4 linked regions of the Cricetulus griseus genome follow. The protein of the gene in region 4 binds, or shares a complex with, the protein of the main gene of each other region. Links are inferred from orthologs where the notes say so. Each region holds a gene or a part of one and is shown on either strand. Other genes may lie near its edges. The genes, in order: Taf1a, Polr1b, Polr2k and Rrn3.

Region 1 (4,380 bases), on a different chromosome or scaffold from region 4:
TAGTAAGAGCTACTAAGCTGCTTAGATCACAATTCCAGGCAACCAGCCCACAAAACTGGCACAGTATCTGTTCAAATAGCCTTTATCCACCTAAGAGAAGACTGCTCTCAGGCCAAGTTCCATCTACCTCTTTATGTTTAGAAGTACAGGACTTGAGATCAGACAGACCTGATTTGCTTCCTTATATCATTACTTAAGAGTTTAATTTCGCCACAGAGAAACCTGGGGGAGGGGGGGCGAGTTTAATTTCTTTGCAATTCAGTGTCCTCACATTTACTGAGGACTAAATTACTGGGAATATAAAACTAAATGAATTTTTCTTTTTAAATGGGAGCTAAATTCTTGGAGCCAAGAAATGCATGGAGAGTAATAAGAAAAGTGCAGGTTTAAGTGTATTTAAAGGTCTGACCCATGCAGCATTCCACCACGGCTTCTTCATATAGTCCTATAGACGTTAACCCACTAAAAGCATTGTCTGCATCTACATTAGATTAAAAATGAAGAAAGATGCCTTTTAAACCTATTACATCAATGCTATAAGGAACCATTTCCATTAAACTCAACAGAAATTTCCTTAACATTTCCTATGTATGTGCTCCTCAATGAGACCACATTTTCTTCATCTGTACGTCCCCAATATTCTGCCAATGCCAAATACAAGTGCTCAGTAAAGAGAACTATATTCATATATATAAATTTATACATGTGTAGTTCATAATATAGACTGTGTATTATTTTTTAAAAAGGGCCAGGCCATGGTGGTGCACGCCTTTAATCCCAGCACTCAGGAGGCAGAGGCAGGCAGATCTCTGTGAGTTCGAGACCAGCCTGGTCTACAAGAGCTAGTTCCAGGACAGCCTCCAAAGCCACAGAGAAACCCTGTGTTAAAAAACCAAAAGAATAAAATAAAATTTAAAAAAAAAAGCTACTTCTTCTAATTTCCTTTTTGTCTCCAGCTGTAAGAAAGAAAAGGGAAACCCCCATCTAATCTTATTACAATATTAGGCACCCTGATTCACACCTGTAACCCTAGCACCTGGAGACTAAGGCAAGAACAACCAGGAGTTCTAAACCAGCCTGAGCTACATGAAGTGAGTTCCAGGCAAGCCAGGGATAAACAGCAAGACCCTGTCTAACAACAATAACAACAACAGAAATTAAGGGGGAGGAAAAATGACCTGGCTTGGTCATTCACTTTGTAGCTGTGTTCAGTCTCGACACTTAGTTGCATTAAAGTGAAAGTGCTGTCCCACTTACCTACAGTCTCTATTCGCTCCTGAAGCCACGGGAAATGCATTCCTGGATTAGAGAACACAGAGGTTTCTCTCTTGCCATCCTCTGCCAAAGCAAGCTTTGTCAATTCTTCATCGAAATCGCTCATATCTATTCCAAACTGAGAGTATCAGTTAGCGTCAGTACACGTTAACCCACAGGCACCTGACTTGAGCTGAAAAGCAATCTTTTCTTGTAGCAAAGTCACCTGAGCAGCAGGGCCCATTGTATCTGACAGTTCTTTTCAAGGAAACACTGAATCTGTTTAAGTCAACAACAGCCTAAACTCAAGTCACATTTTTTAAAAATAGAAGTCTGGGGACTAGAGACGGCTCAGCAGTGAAGAGCACTTGCTGCTTTTCTAGAGGACCTGTGCTGGTTCCCAGCACCCATGTTCATGATCTTCTGGAACCCTAGTCCCAGGGCATACAACCACCTTCACAACAGAACATAGGCACACACATGCAGGCACACACCCACACATGTAAAATAAAAAGTTTCTAAAATCCATAAAACATAATACTGCAAAGCTCTGAACCAAGAACATACAAAAATGAGACATCCTTAATTACAAAGTAAAAAAGCTAAAGCTACATAAAGAAACTGAAGAATACATAACACAATATAGCAAGTACAGTAACAGCAGGAGCTAGTATTTACTGGGACTTAACTACATACTTAGACTATAAAATATCTAATTTAATCGCAGCAGCAACCCTATTCTCTCCCACTTAGTAATGAAAACTGTAGGACTTGCTGGGTGGTGGTGGCAGAGGAAGGAAGGAAGGAAGGAAGGAAGGAAGGAAGGAAGGAAGGAAGGAAGGAAGGCTGAAGGACTTATACAAAATACGTAACATGACCAAAAGGAGTGAAGACAGGAGTCTAGCAAATGCAGAGCACACAGACTAGCTGGTGTGACCAAAAAAATGGCTAGGAGGTGGGCAGGGGGCCATGGCAAATAAATGACTCTACAAAAGCAGCCATATGCCACTGACCTTGGATTGAACTGTCGAAAGGGTGCAGACCCCAGTTCTGAGTACCTATCCGGTATTGAAGCTTCGGGTACTGCGATTTAGAATTCCACCAAACGCCCCTCCTTTCTGCAATCCTACGGCGCCACCCTGGCTCCGGACACCTTCAGACTGGTCCAGGGTGAGTGCTCTGGCGCTGCTGGTGTGTGTGTGTGTGTGTGTGTGTGTGTTTTCCGCGACGCTGGAGACGGGCCCGGGTCTCGAGCCTGCTGACTGGCAGCAGCGTCTCCCTGCGGCGCGGGAGGCTGAGGGTGCGTGGTTAGTCACCGCGCCGCGGGGAGGGCGCAGGGCCAGCCCCGGGGTGCTGCTCCACCTCACCTGGGGGCGGCCGGCCCCGCGAGCGCGCACTAAGCCTTGTAGGAAAGCCGACTCCACCGTGGGGCGCCAAAGCCTGAAGCGACGCCTCAATTCAGTGAGGTCGGCCCCACGGACGCTGCGGACGCCTGACGCGAGCCCCGAGTCCTCAGACTGGCGGCGGCGGCGCCGCCACGGTAACCTAAACCTCCCGGCCCGCAACTGACGCTCCCAGAACCGCGGGGCGCTCACACAGCTCTCCCCGGCGCCACGCTCGCCCGATCGCACGCCGCGGGCTGTCAGGGAAAACCCTCTCCGGAAGTCCTCAGCGAGCGCTTCCTGTGAGCCTGCGCATAACCAGCCGGCCGGCGTTCGGGTAGCGCGCTGCGTAGCCCCGCCCTCCGTCGGGCGTGGCCTGGGGGGAGAGCCCAAGAGCCTCGCCAGAAGAGGCTTGACCCGGAAGTGGGTGTTAGCTTCCGCCTTCGCCTTGGTTTGGCCCTGATTACACCTTGATCTGTGCCAGCCAGAAACTGGAAGGTTCCCATCGCAAGACCGGAGTGTGGCCAGGGGGTGCATTGCCGATTCTGATTGCTGCTCTGAAAGTTATTTTCATTACAGTTTTTAGCATCTTGCTGCCTTCACAGTTGGAGCAAGAGTCCGTGTTTCGCTTATCAACGTGGAGTGTTCTGGCGATCGGCCTGGAGTCCGCTCTCAAGAGGGACATTGGCAGCCGTGTATTGATTATGGAGGTGGATAGTGGAATTGCAGTGTCGTATGAGAAGGGGGACGCTGCGAGGGAAGATGACCCTGAAGACTGGCCTGAGATGTTTGGAAAAATACTCTGTGAAGGACTGATCGGTTAATGGGCAGATTATTACACAGATGTGAACAAGCATTAATGAGTAAAAGCTAAAGGGAGGCAACCTTAAAGTCATTGGGAAAAAAACAATAGTTCATAGTTAAGGCTGCATAAATGATGCAATGGATTCCTCCTAAACTCCGAATTTACTGCTTGAAAATAAGAGTCTGAGTTCCATGGAAATTAGCCGGTCTATCATTACTCCTTGCCCTTAAGCCTGTTTTGGTTTGGTTTTGTTAGAACCCCGGAAAACCTCAGGCCTCCAGGGTCTCAGCCCAGGACTGTGGTCACCCTAATCACCAGGCAGATTCGAAAGCTTGCTGCAAACTGCACAAGGCTTTATTGTTTAACGAGCTCGGATAGCAAAGACAGCTCGAAGAGTCTGCATAGAGATCTTATAGGGCAGCAATAAGGGGAGTGTCTAGGGGTACACACAGGCTCAGGATTGGTGTGCCTCCAGGCTTGGAGGGCTTGCCCTGTGTTGATTGGCCAACTGGTTGTTATGGCCCATAGGCCCTCCCAGGGTGGTTGCCATGCTCTTCAAGCCATTGCTGTGCACTTGTCCATAAAGCACACCCAGAGCCGTAAAGCATAGCGCCACCAGCTAACTTCTGATTGGTTCCTTGCCACAGGCAGGCATCTGACTTTCTAGTGACTAGGACAAGGTCATGGCAAGCACGTGTTACTGTCATGTCTGCCGAAATGGGGAGCTGGTCCCTTCAGTTTGTTTGGGTATTTTTTTGGTGGGGGGGAGGTCAAGACAGGGTTTCTCTGTGTAGCTTTGGAGCCTGTCCTGGAACTAGATCTTGTAGACCAGGCTAGTCTTGGATTCACAGAGACCCACCTTCCTCTGCCTCCAGAATCCTGGGACTAAAGATGTGCTCCACCACCGCCTGCCTTAACCCTGCTATTTTTGTTGTTGCT
Region 2 (3,949 bases), on a different chromosome or scaffold from region 4:
AGGAGGGCGCTGGATCCCTGGAAGTCAAGTTCTCCACAAATATAAGTCACCTGACATGGGTGTTGGGAACTGAACCCTGGCTTCTATGAGAGCAGTAAGTGCTCTTAATCACCAAGCCATTTCTCCAGCCCTGTTTCTTTTTTTGTGTTTTATGATTTAAAAAAAAAATAAAATAAAAAATTGTGTATGTGTTCCTGTTTGTGTTTGGGCATGCACATGTGAGCACAGTGCCTGCCATTATGTACTCTTAGTATGTAGTCATCGAAGCAACCCCATTCTGTTTTGTTTTTTAATTTTCAAATGTAAGACACTTTTCATGTGATTGTTTGAAAAGAAATTCATTAATCCATATTTTAGACATCGGAGAATCAACTTGCCTTTTTTGCCATTTCCCTTGTGGGCTGGGTGAGATTGGGATGGACAGCTGTGGCTTGGGGTTCTGGGTTTATTACCAGGATGATGTAATTTCTTAGATGCTTTCCCTTTCCCATTCTACCTGACTCTGGTGGCAGGGAGGGTGGGGTAAAACATACATTTGTTCTTCATTAAACTCTGTTCTGTTGAAACAGGTGTTGAGAGAAAAGAGAATTCCTCCCTGGATGGAGGTGGCCCTGGTTCCCATGACAGGAAAACCAAGCCTATACCCGGGGTTGTTCCTCTTCACAACTCCCTGCCGGCTGGTGAGGCCTGTGCAGAACTTGGAGCTGGGCAAAGAAGAGCTCATTGGAACTATGGAACAGGTGGGTACCCGCTGGGGTGTGTGCTTATGTAGAACAGTTTTCAGGGACTTGGCTTTCACTTTTAAAAGCATTTGACAGAACATCCAGCTCACTTTTCTGACCCCCATTGCCCAGGACTAAGTAGTTTTAGTGTCTTGCCATACTGTTGGGAACCTGAGGGAGGCTTGGTGCTCACATAACTGCCTGTCCTTCCTGCCCGGTGTTCGTGGTTCCTTGGCACCTGGCTCTGCCCCAGCTGGTGAAGACTGAGGCATCACAGTTGTCGTCCACATCTTTGCCATTGCCAAACTGGAGTTTGTGCCTACTTTAAAAATTTTATTAAAAAGAAAAAAAAAATGAAACTGGAGGTGGTGATGCATTTTAATCCCAGCACTTGGGAGGCAGAGGTAGGTGGATCTTTGAGTTTGAGGCCAGCCTGATCTACAGAGTGAGTTATGGGATAGCCAGAGAAACCCTGTCCAAAATAAATATTTGTCTTCCTCTTTGGCTCTTCACAATTGGACAGGGTAGATAGAGGATGAGATATCCAAGGGGAAAGTGTTGGAGCTCTTAGCAGGCACACACCCTGGGTCTCAACAGCAGCTCCCCATATCAGTAGCCGGCATTCATGATTGGGGAGGGACTCTTTGTGGCCTTGAGCACTAACCCCTGGGAAGCAGCGAGACAGCCACAGTTATTTTATGCCTCTGTCTTCCTTACTCTTGTTTTCCTCCAGCTCTTCATGAACGTTGCCATTTTTGAGGATGAGGTTTTTTCTGGAATTTCCACACACCAGGAGCTCTTCCCTCACAGCCTGCTGAGTGTGATCGCCAACTTCATCCCCTTCTCTGATCATAACCAGAGTCCTCGGAACATGTACCAGTGCCAGATGGGTAAGGTGGGTGGAGGTGGTGGTGGTGGTTGGTACCTGCACACACAAAAAGCGTGTGTAAGTTAAGCTGAAATCATCTCAAACTTGAGAAGTTTCAAGAACAGCATAAAGAATGCCAGCCGGCCAGTCGCCTGTTCTGTTAACATTCTGCTGGCTCATACTTTCCTTTTTCACTTGAAGATTGTAGGCACAGTGCCCCCTCCACACTTCAGTGCATATTCCCAACCATAAGAGCTTTCTTAGTGAGGGATATTTGTCAAAATCAGGAGGTTCCGCATAAATGTGTGAGTACTGCATGCATGTATGTGCAGGTGTCTGCAGAAGCTAGAGACATTCAGTCCTTCTGGAGCTGAGTTATAGTCAGTTGTTAGCCACGGGACATGGATGCTGGGAACTGGACTTAGTTCCTCTGCAAGAGCAGCACACACTCCATATTTTAGTCCTTACTTGATTTGGAGGAGGTGGAGAATCCAAGGCTGGGTCCAGGATCACTTGTGTTCTGCTAGTGCGCACATTTGTGTCCTTTGGTGCAGAAGAGCCCTTTGGCTTGTTTGTGTCGTTCTTCACATTTACATTTTCCAGGAAAATGACTTGAGTTTGTCTGAGATCTTATGCCTTCACTCTTGAGGGGTTCAAGCCATTACAGTTACTCACATAGTTATCACTTCCAGTGCTCTTGAAATTAAAGCTTTTCGGCATTTGCTCCTAACCCCTACAACCTTCCTTGAGCTGATCTTGAATTCAGTATCCTTCAGCAGGGCTGGAGGGATGGCTAAGCAGTTAAGAGCATTGGCTGCTCTTCCAGAGGTTGTGAGTTCAATTCCAGCAACCACATAGTAGCTCACAACCACCTATAGTGGGATCTGATGTCTTCTTCTGGTGTAAAGGCATATGTGCAAATAGAGCGCACATATATACATTAAATAAATAAATCTTAAAAAAAAAAAAAAGAGTTGCCATGGTCATGGTGTCTCTTCACAGCAATAAAAACTGTAACTAAGACAGTGTGTGTGTGTGTGTGTGTGTGTGTGTGTCTGAGTGTGTCTGTGTCTCTGTGTCTCTGTGTCTGTGTCTGTGTGTATGGTGTTCTATGTACACATGTGTGCACGTGGAGACCTGAGGAAGATAGCTGGTGTCCTGCTCTGTTACTGTTTTCTTTATTCCTTTGAGACATGGTTTACTCATTGAGCCTGGAGCTAGGCTACCAGCCAGCCAGCCAGCCCCAGCAACACTCCCAACAGCACTCGGGTTACAGATGCAAATGGCCACTCTGGTTTCCTGTTTCTAATTTTTGATGGATGATCATGTTCACTGACATCATGCTGTCATCTAATGAATTATTGTCTTAGTCTTTAGACTACAATTTCTGGTTTTTTGTTTGTTTGTTTTTGAGGGTTTTGTTTACTGATCACAATGGACATATTTTGCTGTATATATTAAGCTTGCTATAATCGTCATTATATTGATTATATATAATCACATATTCATTATGTTATAATGGGTGATATAAAGTTACCTTTTGCCTGTTCAAACATCTGGATAGTCCCAAGATTGCTATCCATTGAGTGTAGTTTTCTTGGGTGTGGGTTATGTTTACTGTTTGTGTCTCCAGTAATTACTATGTCAACTACTGTGAGTGATAGGGCTTCAAGCTAGGCCTCTCTGAAAGAGCTGATGTTGGTCTTGACTGCTATTTAACTTGGTTCTTAGTCTCAGTCTACTTGGCTCAGTCTCATGCATCATGAGCAATTCATTGCCCACCAAAGGTTTAGACTTAGTGTATGTGCAGAGTGAAGGCTCTCCTCTGTAATCTACCTTCAGAACAGGAAAGAAAGAAAAGAAATGCCCCCTACTTTCCAGTAGCCCCTGTGCTCTGAACTCTGTTCTTCGATTCTTCAAGACAGTAACCAGAGATCTCTAAAATAACTTAAAAACTGAAAACTATACAATTGTTGACTAAAGTGGTTGCTTTGTTTCAAATATAAATTCCTCTCAGTTTCTGACTACTTTCAGCAAATCTCCAGTCTTTGGGCAATGAGTGGTTGGCGAGTGGGCATGTGGACACAGTTGAGACCCTTTGCTTCCTGAATCTTTTTTTTTTTTTTTTAAGATTTATTTATTTGTTATGTGTACAGTGTTCTGTCTGCATGTTGCCTGCAGGCCAGAAGAGGGCACCATATCTCACTACAGATGGTAGTGAGCCACCGTGTGGTTTCTGGGAATTGAATTCAGGACCTCTGGAAGAGCAGCCAGTGCTCTTAACCTCTGAGCCATCTCTCCAGCCCCGCTTCCTGAATCTTATAGTTGAGTGTTGAGGGTGGTCTTGTAAGAGCAGCCC
Region 3 (4,587 bases), on a different chromosome or scaffold from region 4:
TTGCAAAGGACCAAGTTCAGTTCCCAGCACCCACGTAGGGCGGCTTCTAATAGTCTGTAGCTCCAGTCCAGGGGCTCCGAGGACCTTTTCAGGTCTCTGCTGGCACTAACACAGACAACTCAAAGTAACAACGAAATCTTAGCCGGGTGGTGGTGGCGCACACCTTTAATCCCAGCACTCAGGAGGCAGAGGCAGGCGGATCTCTGTGAGTTCGAGGCCAGCCTGGTCTCCAGAGTGAGTGCCAGGACAGACTCCAAAGCTACAGAGAAATCCTGTCTCGAAAAAACCAAAAACACAAAACAAAGAAACAACGAAATCTTAAAATCTCAGACGTCTAATGTAAGCCCCCTGGAAGCTCAGGCCTCCAGAATCCTTTCCCAGGACTGCGGCCATCCCAATCATCATGAGGAGTCGGAAACTTGATGCAAACAGCAAGAGGCTTTAATGAAAGGTAGACGTTTGTACGAAGGGGCTCTCTCAGCATGCAGGCTAGAGAGCAGCCCCGTCCCCCAGGCACAGGCCTTTTTAAAGGCAAAAACCACAAGCTTAGGGAGGGGTGTGACCAGAGTCACAGGTGCCTAAGAGACCCTTTGTCTTGAGGAGAGGGCTGGGAATCAGATGGCCTCCTGACCCACCAGCTGTAAAACCTGCAGACCTCAGGATATGCTTAGCTTGCTTGAGCAAATGGTACCTATCTCTTTGTTTCACAGGGACACTTAATTGTTAATGATTGACACATTGGCCGGTGGGGCAATCTGTTTTTTTCATGAGCCCCTCGGGGAGGGTGGCCATCTGGGAATTCTTGGTACCCAGTTATATTATGGCCTTGTAAGGGAGTAATTGCTTGCGGCTGGTAAATTCCAGGCCCTAAGTCCTAATAGTGGCCTTAGTTTCCGAGTTAGGCCGCCCTACATTCAGTTTGGAGAGTTTCCTTATCTGGGCTATATTTCTTTGCTAATTTTTAAGTCTTTCACTAGCAAGTGAGAAGCCACACCACCCTTTCTCTACAGCCGGGGCTTAGCCCGGCAGACACACCTGACCGCCCTAGGATTGGGGAGACTTTGTAGCGTGGCTGAGGGCGAGCGTTTAACAGGCTGCTGGGCTGTGTGCGGAGGAAGCAGCTCAAGCGACCGTTTTCCTGAAGATTCACCCCTGCGAGCCACCGAGCTAAGCCAACGGTCCTGAAAAAAAGTATTTTTAATTGACATCTCCGGGGCCTGGGGGAGAGCCGCGCGCTGAAGGGCAGCCAAACAAAAGAGAACCCTGTGCAAACGGCGACGAGCAAATGGCGACGAGCAAATGGCGACGAGCCCGAGTCTCGAACCCGCGACCGCCGCCGGAGCGAGAGCTGCTTTCGGCTTCCGCCGTCGCCTGTGCCCAGCCCGGGCTCTCGGCGGCGGAGGGGACGGGGCGGGGGCGGGGCTCCTGCGCGTCATTAGGCAGCGCCGGAAGCGCGCGGTCCGCGCCGGTAGTGAGTCCGTCACTGAGGACGCGGGGGAACGTTTGTGTGCGTACCGAGACTCTGCTTGGAGCCGCGGAGGTGAGAGATCGGTCTGAGGGCAAAAAAACTGGCTTTAGAAGGTTTTAGAAAGTTCCCGGGTGCCCGGGAGAGCTGGCTCCACGCCGCCTGGGCGCTCGGGAAACGGAGGCAGGGGACTGCCGCCTTCAGCAGACGGACGCCCGGGCTTTGGGGTTGGCTTGGGCGATGAAGTGAGTTCCGGGCCAGCCTGGGCTACCAAGTGGGGAGCCTCTCAAAGAGCCAAATAAACGTAAATAAATGGTCGGTGACTGGGCTGGAGGGGCGGCTCAGAGGTTAAGAGCGCCGATTGCTCCTCCAGAGGTCCCGGGTTCAATTCCCAGCACCCACATGGCAGCTCACAGCTGTCTGCAACTCCAGTTCCAGGGGACCTGACACCCTCACACCAACGCACATAAAATAAAATAAATTTAAAAAATGATTTATGACAAGATCCCCGGCGGAGTTAGCGGATTTTTGTGGGTTTTTTTTTTTTTTAGTTTATTTGTTGTTTGGTTTTTCGAGACAGGGTTTCTAAGTTTATTTTTATTTTTTGTGCATTGGGTATTTTGCATGGATGTCAGCTGGGTGCCCTGGAACTGGGGTTGCACACAGTTGTGAGCTGCTATGTGTGTGCTGGGAATTGAACTCAGGAGGAGCAACCGGTGCTCTTAACCTCTGAGCCATCTCTCCAGCCCCCCCCCCCTTTGCTTCTTAGTGTCGGGAGACGCTGGGCACACAGAGAGCTGTGCTTAGCCTCGGTTTCCCCGAGTGTAAAGAGTGATGCCCTCTGGCACCTTCAAGAGTGTCGTAGACCTTCGAGATGGATTCTGTGTTGTTGAGAATGTGTTTCCTCCTTCAGACCCAGCCCACAGTTGGTGGGGAAGGGGGGGTTTCAAATAAGGAATTATGATTTTTTTCCCCCTCATTCTGTAATACTGGGGTTTGATCCTCGAGCCGCTGTGTTCTGGGCAAACATTCTACACCTGAGATTTTCTCTTCACCCCGGAATCAGGACCTTGCGTAGCTGCTGGGGAAAAGGGAGCCTGGTTGGTTTTGTGTGATGATCTTGTTATTCAAGCTTTGGCTCTGATTTCAGGCACTAGCAATGGACGCGCAGAAAGACGTCCAACCCCCAAAGCAGCAGCCGATGATATATATTTGCGGAGGTAAGATTAACATTTAAGTAGGAACGTTTTTTGTTGTTGTTTTGGTTTTTTGGTTTGTTTGGCTTTTTTTTTTTTTTGCTTTTGTTTTGTTTTTTTGAAACAGGGTTTTTCTGTGGCTTTGGAGCCTATCCTGGAACTCACTCTGTACACCAGGCTGGTCTCCAACTCACAGAGATCCCCCTGCCTCTGCCTCCCTAGTGCTGGGATTAAAGGTATGTGCCACCAATGCCCTGCTTAAGTAGGAACATTTTACCTCAACTTTCCATATATGAGTACTGATCTTCAAAGTTATAAAGCGGAGCACTCAGGAGGCAGAGGCAGGGGGATCTCTGCGAGTTCAAGTGAAACACTTTAGCATCATTAATGTAAAAGTCCCTCGTTAAGATTTGTCTTTTCATCAGGAAAAGGTACGCTGCCGACAGCTCTTTTCTTTCCTCCTTGGTGTATTTAGTTTCGGGGCTTTGACTTGCTCTGGCGAAGTCTGTGGTTATATTTGGTTCCCTGTAGTGTTTCTCTTTCAGGCATTGACTGAACGTGTTTTATTCCCTAGAGTGTCACACGGAAAATGAAATAAAGTCCAGGGATCCAATCAGATGCAGAGAATGTGGATACAGAATAATGTACAAGAAAAGGACAAAAAGATGTATCCTTCTGACTGGGCTTTCTAAACGTAAAGAGGAATAACTAATACTCGGTTGATAAAGACCAAGTTCTGACAAAAGTAGCAACTTTTGGGTTGTTTATTTTTCTAAGCAGATTGAATGTGACTTTATTAATGAAGAGTTTATTAACTGAGAATGTGGGGGGCTCTGAAGGACGTAAATGTATATTATTTTAATATGAATTATTTTTCACCAAACTTGGAGAAAAGAGGCAGGCAGAGCTTTGTGAGTTCAAGGCCAGCTAGAACTACTAAGTGAGACTCAGTGTCAAAAAAAACAAATAGGGGCTAGAGAGACTCGTCAGCAGGCAGGTAAGGGCATCGGCTGTTCTTCCAGAGGACCTGTGTTCTGTTTCTAGCACCAACATAATTACTCATGATCCTCTGTAACTCCAGTTTCGGGGGTCTGATCCCTTTTTCCGACCTCCACCTGTACAAAGGACCCAAGTGTGTGTGTGTGTGTGTGTGTGTGTTTAAAAAACCCTGTAAGTGATTTTAGCTTTTATTTTACTTTTTTTTTTTTAGTTCAAATTAGAAACAAGCCTACTTCGATTGTCAATCCCTGCTCCCTCCTCTCTCTAGCCCTTCACCAACTCACCACATCATCCCCCCCTCTGCTCCCCAGGGAGGGTAAGGCCCTCCATGAGGTATCCCCAAAGTCTGTCATATCGTTTGGGATAGGGCCTAGACCCTCCCCCATGTGTCCAGGCTGAGAGAGCATCCCTCCACGTGGGATGGGCTCCCAAAGTCCTTTTGTACACCAGCTCTTTTTTTTTTAAGTAAACATGATTAGTGTTTTCGTGCCATTCATTATGGGCTCTAAGTAATTAAAAAATTAATCAATTTGGGTTTATGTAAATGTTTTTAGTTTTTTCAGGAATTCTTTGTTAGAAGTAGTCACTCTTGATTGTTAGCTTATGGGTAATCTAAAGTATGGGAGGAGAAATTAATAACCTAGTGGAAAATAGGCCTACAAATTAGTCCAAATACTGAAATTGTTTCAGTGTAACTGACACAGACTCTCAAAATCATCAGTGTTTCAGTGTTTTAAAATATCTTTTTCGTATTATCTTTTAAAATTTACCTATATTGTTATCTTCTGTGTAATAGAGAGTGAACTAATGAAAATGGAAGCTGAGTATTTTATTTTTTTAGATTATCTCCAGTGGCCATAATGAAGTTCAGTCTTTTGTTCGTTTTATATGAAACAGCAAGCTTGGTGCAGAGGTGGTGACTTGGAA
Region 4 (3,949 bases):
GTGTGAACATGACTCAAAACAATTTTAAAATTTACAAATAGTTATGGTGGAGGCTGAGTGGCCTATCTCTGTTGCTCTTACAGAGGAAGGACCAGGGTTTAGTTCCCAGTATCTACATAGTAGCTAACAACTGTTGAAAACTAGTCACAAAAATCTGACATCCAGTTCTGGCCTTTGAAGTCACTACATGTACATGGTACACAGACATGCATGCAGGTAAAATACCCATAAACATAAAATAAGTTCTAAAAAGAAATAGATGTGCTGGACTGCAAAAGGTATTTCCTCTCTAATAAAGACTCCTAGCCTAAGGCTAGTGAGATGGCTTATCAAATAAAGGTGCTGGCCACCAAATCTGGCAACCAAGTTTGATCCCCAGGATACACATATTAGAAGAGCACTGACTCCCTCCTGCAAGTTGTCCTCTGACCTCCACAGCATGCAGCGCGCGCGCGCGCGCGTGTGTGTGTGCGTGCGTGCGTGCGTGCGTGCGTGCGTGCGTGCGTGCGTGCGTGCGTGCGTGCGTGCGTGCGTGCGTGCGTGTGTGTGTATGTACACTTATTGGGTTCCAGGCACAACCCCTGACCCAAATGTATGTGTGTGTGCGTGTGTGTGTGTGTGTGTGTGTATGTATGTATGTATGTATGTATGTATGTATGTATGTACACTTATTGGGTTCCAGGCACAACCCCTGACCCAAATATGGCCCCTTGACTTCAGAAAACTGCAGGCATGAGATAAAGCCTAAGACACTTGTTCTCAACCTGTGATTGTGACCCCATTGGGGGTTGAAGGACCCTTCCCTCTAAAAAAACCATCGAAAACACAGATATTTACATTACAATTCATAACAGCAGCAAAATTACAGTTATAAAGTAGAAACAAAAATAATTTTATGGTTGGGAATCACCACAGCATGAAGAACCGTGTTAAAGGTTGGAAGGTTGAGAACCACTGAACTATGAGGAATGTCCTTCTGGGGCAAAACAAGGCCACAAGGGCAGAGAAGCGAAGAAGGAATAACTCTAATGAGGGGATCAGAGATAGCCTTTGCTCTGACTCCTTTGCAGTGGTTTCTCTAGTAGCTGGCTAAACAATACATGAATAGCAGTGGGGGAAAATAGAAGTTGCTCGTTTTTGAAGTGAACCCAGTCTTACCCCTGTCTACGATTGCCTCCTTTGTATAGTCTTTCCCCTGTCTATGATTGCCCCCTCCTTTGCAGAGTCTTGCCCCTGTCTACAATGGCCTCCTTTGCAGAGTCTTGCCCCTGTCTACAATGGCCTCCTTTGCAGAGTCTTGCCCCTGTCTACGATGGGCTCCTTTGCAGGCCATGGTGCCACAGCTGCACTTGTGGCAGCAAACCCTCATCAAGCCCCTCACACATTTAAAAGTAAACATCAACCCAAAGCAAGCAGTACAGCACTGACAGTCCAAGGACAGTAAGAAAACCCAGCCTGAACCCACATTACTGACCTTCCTTCAAGTTTCCACTCAAAATCTGCTTGTGTCTAAAAACGAAAGTGTAGAACACAGCTTGGCAGGCTGAATAAAATGGTCCATGGAGTGCAACATCACAAAAAGCCTTTGTTCCTGAATCCTGGTTATTAAGATACATGTGCAACCAGTTAACCAAAAGATCCAGGCATGACTTTACGGTGCTGCAAAGAGAAGAAAAGTCAGTGTTACTGGATTCATCAGAAAGCTAGAGACAGAAACACACACCTGTCTTTCACTATCCATTATATAAGGCTCAACTACGACCCACAGGCACAGTGGTAAGCAATTGCTTCACAAACATGAGGTCCTGAGTTCCATCCCAGCACCAAAAACCTTACCCATCGGCAGAGAAACAGAAGGAAAAGGACAGAAGGTGGGAAGCCTTCCAATTGTTTATTGTTTTCAGTTTTTTTTTTTTGGTTTTTGTTTTTTTTTCTTTAGACAGTGTTTCTCTGTGTAGCATTGACTGTCCTGGAACTCATTCTGCAGACCAGACTGACCCTGAACTCACAGAGAGCCTCTACCTCTGCTTTCCCAGTACTGGGACTAAAGAATGCCTTCCAATTCAGTGAGGCAGAGCTTACTTGGGCAGAGCAAGAGGCCTTAGGGATGTCCCAAGGAGCGAGGCCCAGGAGCACAGGCCTGTAATTCCCCACCTTAGAAGACTGAAGGAGGTAGGAGCTGAGGCCAGCCTGGGTTCCAGAGCAAGACTCAAAAAACAAAATGGAACAAAACAAAAGACAAAAATACTTTCAGGGATGGAGCTGAGCTCCAACTCAGCCAAGACTTCCTGGCTTAGCTCCCAGCCAGACAGTGCTGTGGCTAAGGATCATGCTTCTTCCCATCTGGACTCAGAAACTGGAACCACAAGACTAAGCTGATTGGGGGATGGCTTAGCAGCATCTGTGCCAGTCTCTTGTGGAGTCCCTGAAGAAACCAGTCTCCTGAGTCTTAATGCTGGGGGTGGGACCCAGGGCTTTGCAAGTGTCGAATGTGCTTTACCACTGAGCTCCATCCCATCCTAATTTCTTTAAAAAGGGTTTTGTTTAGACCAAACAGACACAATTAATTTGGAAGGCAAATGAAAAACAACAAACCTACAAAAAAATATCAAGCAATATACAACACGGTGCTACCCATGAACAGAGACAGGCTTTCAGGTTCAAAACACAAACAGATGCCTCATGTACCTATTATCCAAATAGAGACCTGTCCTTCTCAAACCACTTCTTAGAAATAAAAGCACCTTGCATTATAGTCAACAGATTCCCCCCCTGGCTTTACAAAGACAGATAAAAAAAATAAGACCTATTTCTTTGACTTGAGACAATATTATAATCTCCCTACAGCAAAACATTAAAAAAAGCATTTGGAAAATTAGGTTACTTACATAAGAGGAATAAATTTAGCTCTTGCCAAAAAGCTCCCAATGTAATTCGCAGCAGCTTGCCTGATGATGGCGGGGTTATTTGGATCCTGCAACTTTTTCCAAAGATGTTCCAAAAATGCTTCTGCAAATCCCTGTAACAAGAGGCTGCTGGCTTGATATGTCTAATGCTGAAATTATTCTGGCTTTCAGCACCCTGAAGGCATTACCTAACAATGCAATTATACTGCTAAATAAGGAATAGAGAGGTCACAGTTCTTATTTAAAAGCAAAACCCTAGTAGACCCAGCTCTCCTATCACCCCTCATCCCTTTGTGTTAGACACTGTTACCTAGAAACACTGATAACTGGGAACCCAGTGAACCACATGGGGCTAGGACTCAGGTAGGCTATTTCCATTCTCTTTGTCACCCACTACAGTCTCTCCAGGCTCATCCCCAGCCCTGTAGCAGCCGGCTACAGCCTCTCCTCCCTCCATCTCTATTCCTCCGGGACTCCAGCCATGCCTTGGCATGCATGCACCTTTCCTTCTCCCTATGGACCTTCTCAGCACACCACCCCCTTCTAACCCATCCTCATCCCTTTGTGTCAGCCCCCACACCTAGAAATACTTTCTATCCCAAAGGCCCCCAGAGGCCATACCTGAAAGGATAGGTGAGTCACATTAAGATCTCTCCATTAAGATCTCTCAGTGACAACCTGCTTGCAGGAGCCCCTCTACCTCCAACTCTGAATCCATACACAGGGTATACCTAGCCCTTTCATCTCTGTCTCTCTTCAATTTTGTAACTTAATGTACCCTACTTCTTCGATCCCCTGATCCCACCATATCTCCAACTCCCTGTGGACCCCACACCTCTAGGTGTGAACAGGATCACCTTAGATCTTTCCTGAAGGTCCCTCAGCCTTTTCTCCTAGCCTATCTCTATTCCTTCCTTTCTGCCACCCACCCACCCACCTCCAGAAGCACTTACTACAAGGCAACCCACAGCCATCACTACCTTAAGATCCAGAGAGGACAATAGCAACCAAGGAATGGAATACCCACTCAACAAAGACCAGAC

The links.
Region 1: Rrn3 (region 4) and Taf1a share a complex: the UniProt entries of both Homo sapiens proteins name them as parts of the pol I pre-initiation complex. The link is inferred for Cricetulus griseus from reciprocal best matches to the Homo sapiens genes RRN3 and TAF1A.
Region 2: Rrn3 (region 4) and Polr1b share a complex: the UniProt entries of both Homo sapiens proteins name them as parts of the pol I pre-initiation complex. The link is inferred for Cricetulus griseus from reciprocal best matches to the Homo sapiens genes RRN3 and POLR1B.
Region 3: Rrn3 (region 4) and Polr2k share a complex: the UniProt entries of both Homo sapiens proteins name them as parts of the pol I pre-initiation complex. The link is inferred for Cricetulus griseus from reciprocal best matches to the Homo sapiens genes RRN3 and POLR2K.

The regions. Positions count from the first base shown.
Region 1 is NC_048598.1:11,100,916-11,105,295, forward strand, and holds the start of Taf1a (TATA box-binding protein-associated factor RNA polymerase I subunit A), read right to left. Parts: upstream 2,927-4,380; 5' UTR 2,622-2,926; exon of another isoform or gene 2,268-2,621; intron 1,394-2,267; exon of another isoform or gene 1,384-1,393; 5' UTR 1,382-1,383; coding exon 1,258-1,381; intron 1-1,257. UniProt on the Homo sapiens protein: Component of the transcription factor SL1/TIF-IB complex, which is involved in the assembly of the PIC (pre-initiation complex) during RNA polymerase I-dependent transcription.
Region 2 is NC_048599.1:49,450,447-49,454,395, reverse strand, and holds part of Polr1b (DNA-directed RNA polymerase I subunit RPA2), read left to right. Parts: intron 1-275; exon of another isoform or gene 276-569; coding exon 570-740; exon of another isoform or gene 741-1,455; coding exon 1,456-1,612; exon of another isoform or gene 1,613-1,647; intron 1,648-2,058; exon of another isoform or gene 2,059-2,630; intron 2,631-3,949. UniProt on the Homo sapiens protein: Catalytic core component of RNA polymerase I (Pol I), a DNA-dependent RNA polymerase which synthesizes ribosomal RNA precursors using the four ribonucleoside triphosphates as substrates.
Region 3 is NC_048603.1:15,288,012-15,292,598, reverse strand, and holds the start of Polr2k (DNA-directed RNA polymerases I, II, and III subunit RPABC4), read left to right. Parts: upstream 1-1,443; 5' UTR 1,444-1,540; intron 1,541-2,615; 5' UTR 2,616-2,624; coding exon 2,625-2,685; intron 2,686-3,235; coding exon 3,236-3,328; intron 3,329-4,587. UniProt on the Homo sapiens protein: DNA-dependent RNA polymerase catalyzes the transcription of DNA into RNA using the four ribonucleoside triphosphates as substrates.
Region 4 is NW_023276807.1:74,982,260-74,986,208, reverse strand, and holds part of Rrn3 (RNA polymerase I-specific transcription initiation factor RRN3), read right to left. Parts: intron 3,020-3,949; coding exon 2,889-3,019; intron 1,660-2,888; coding exon 1,475-1,659; intron 1-1,474. UniProt on the Homo sapiens protein: Required for efficient transcription initiation by RNA polymerase I (Pol I). Required for the formation of the competent pre-initiation complex (PIC).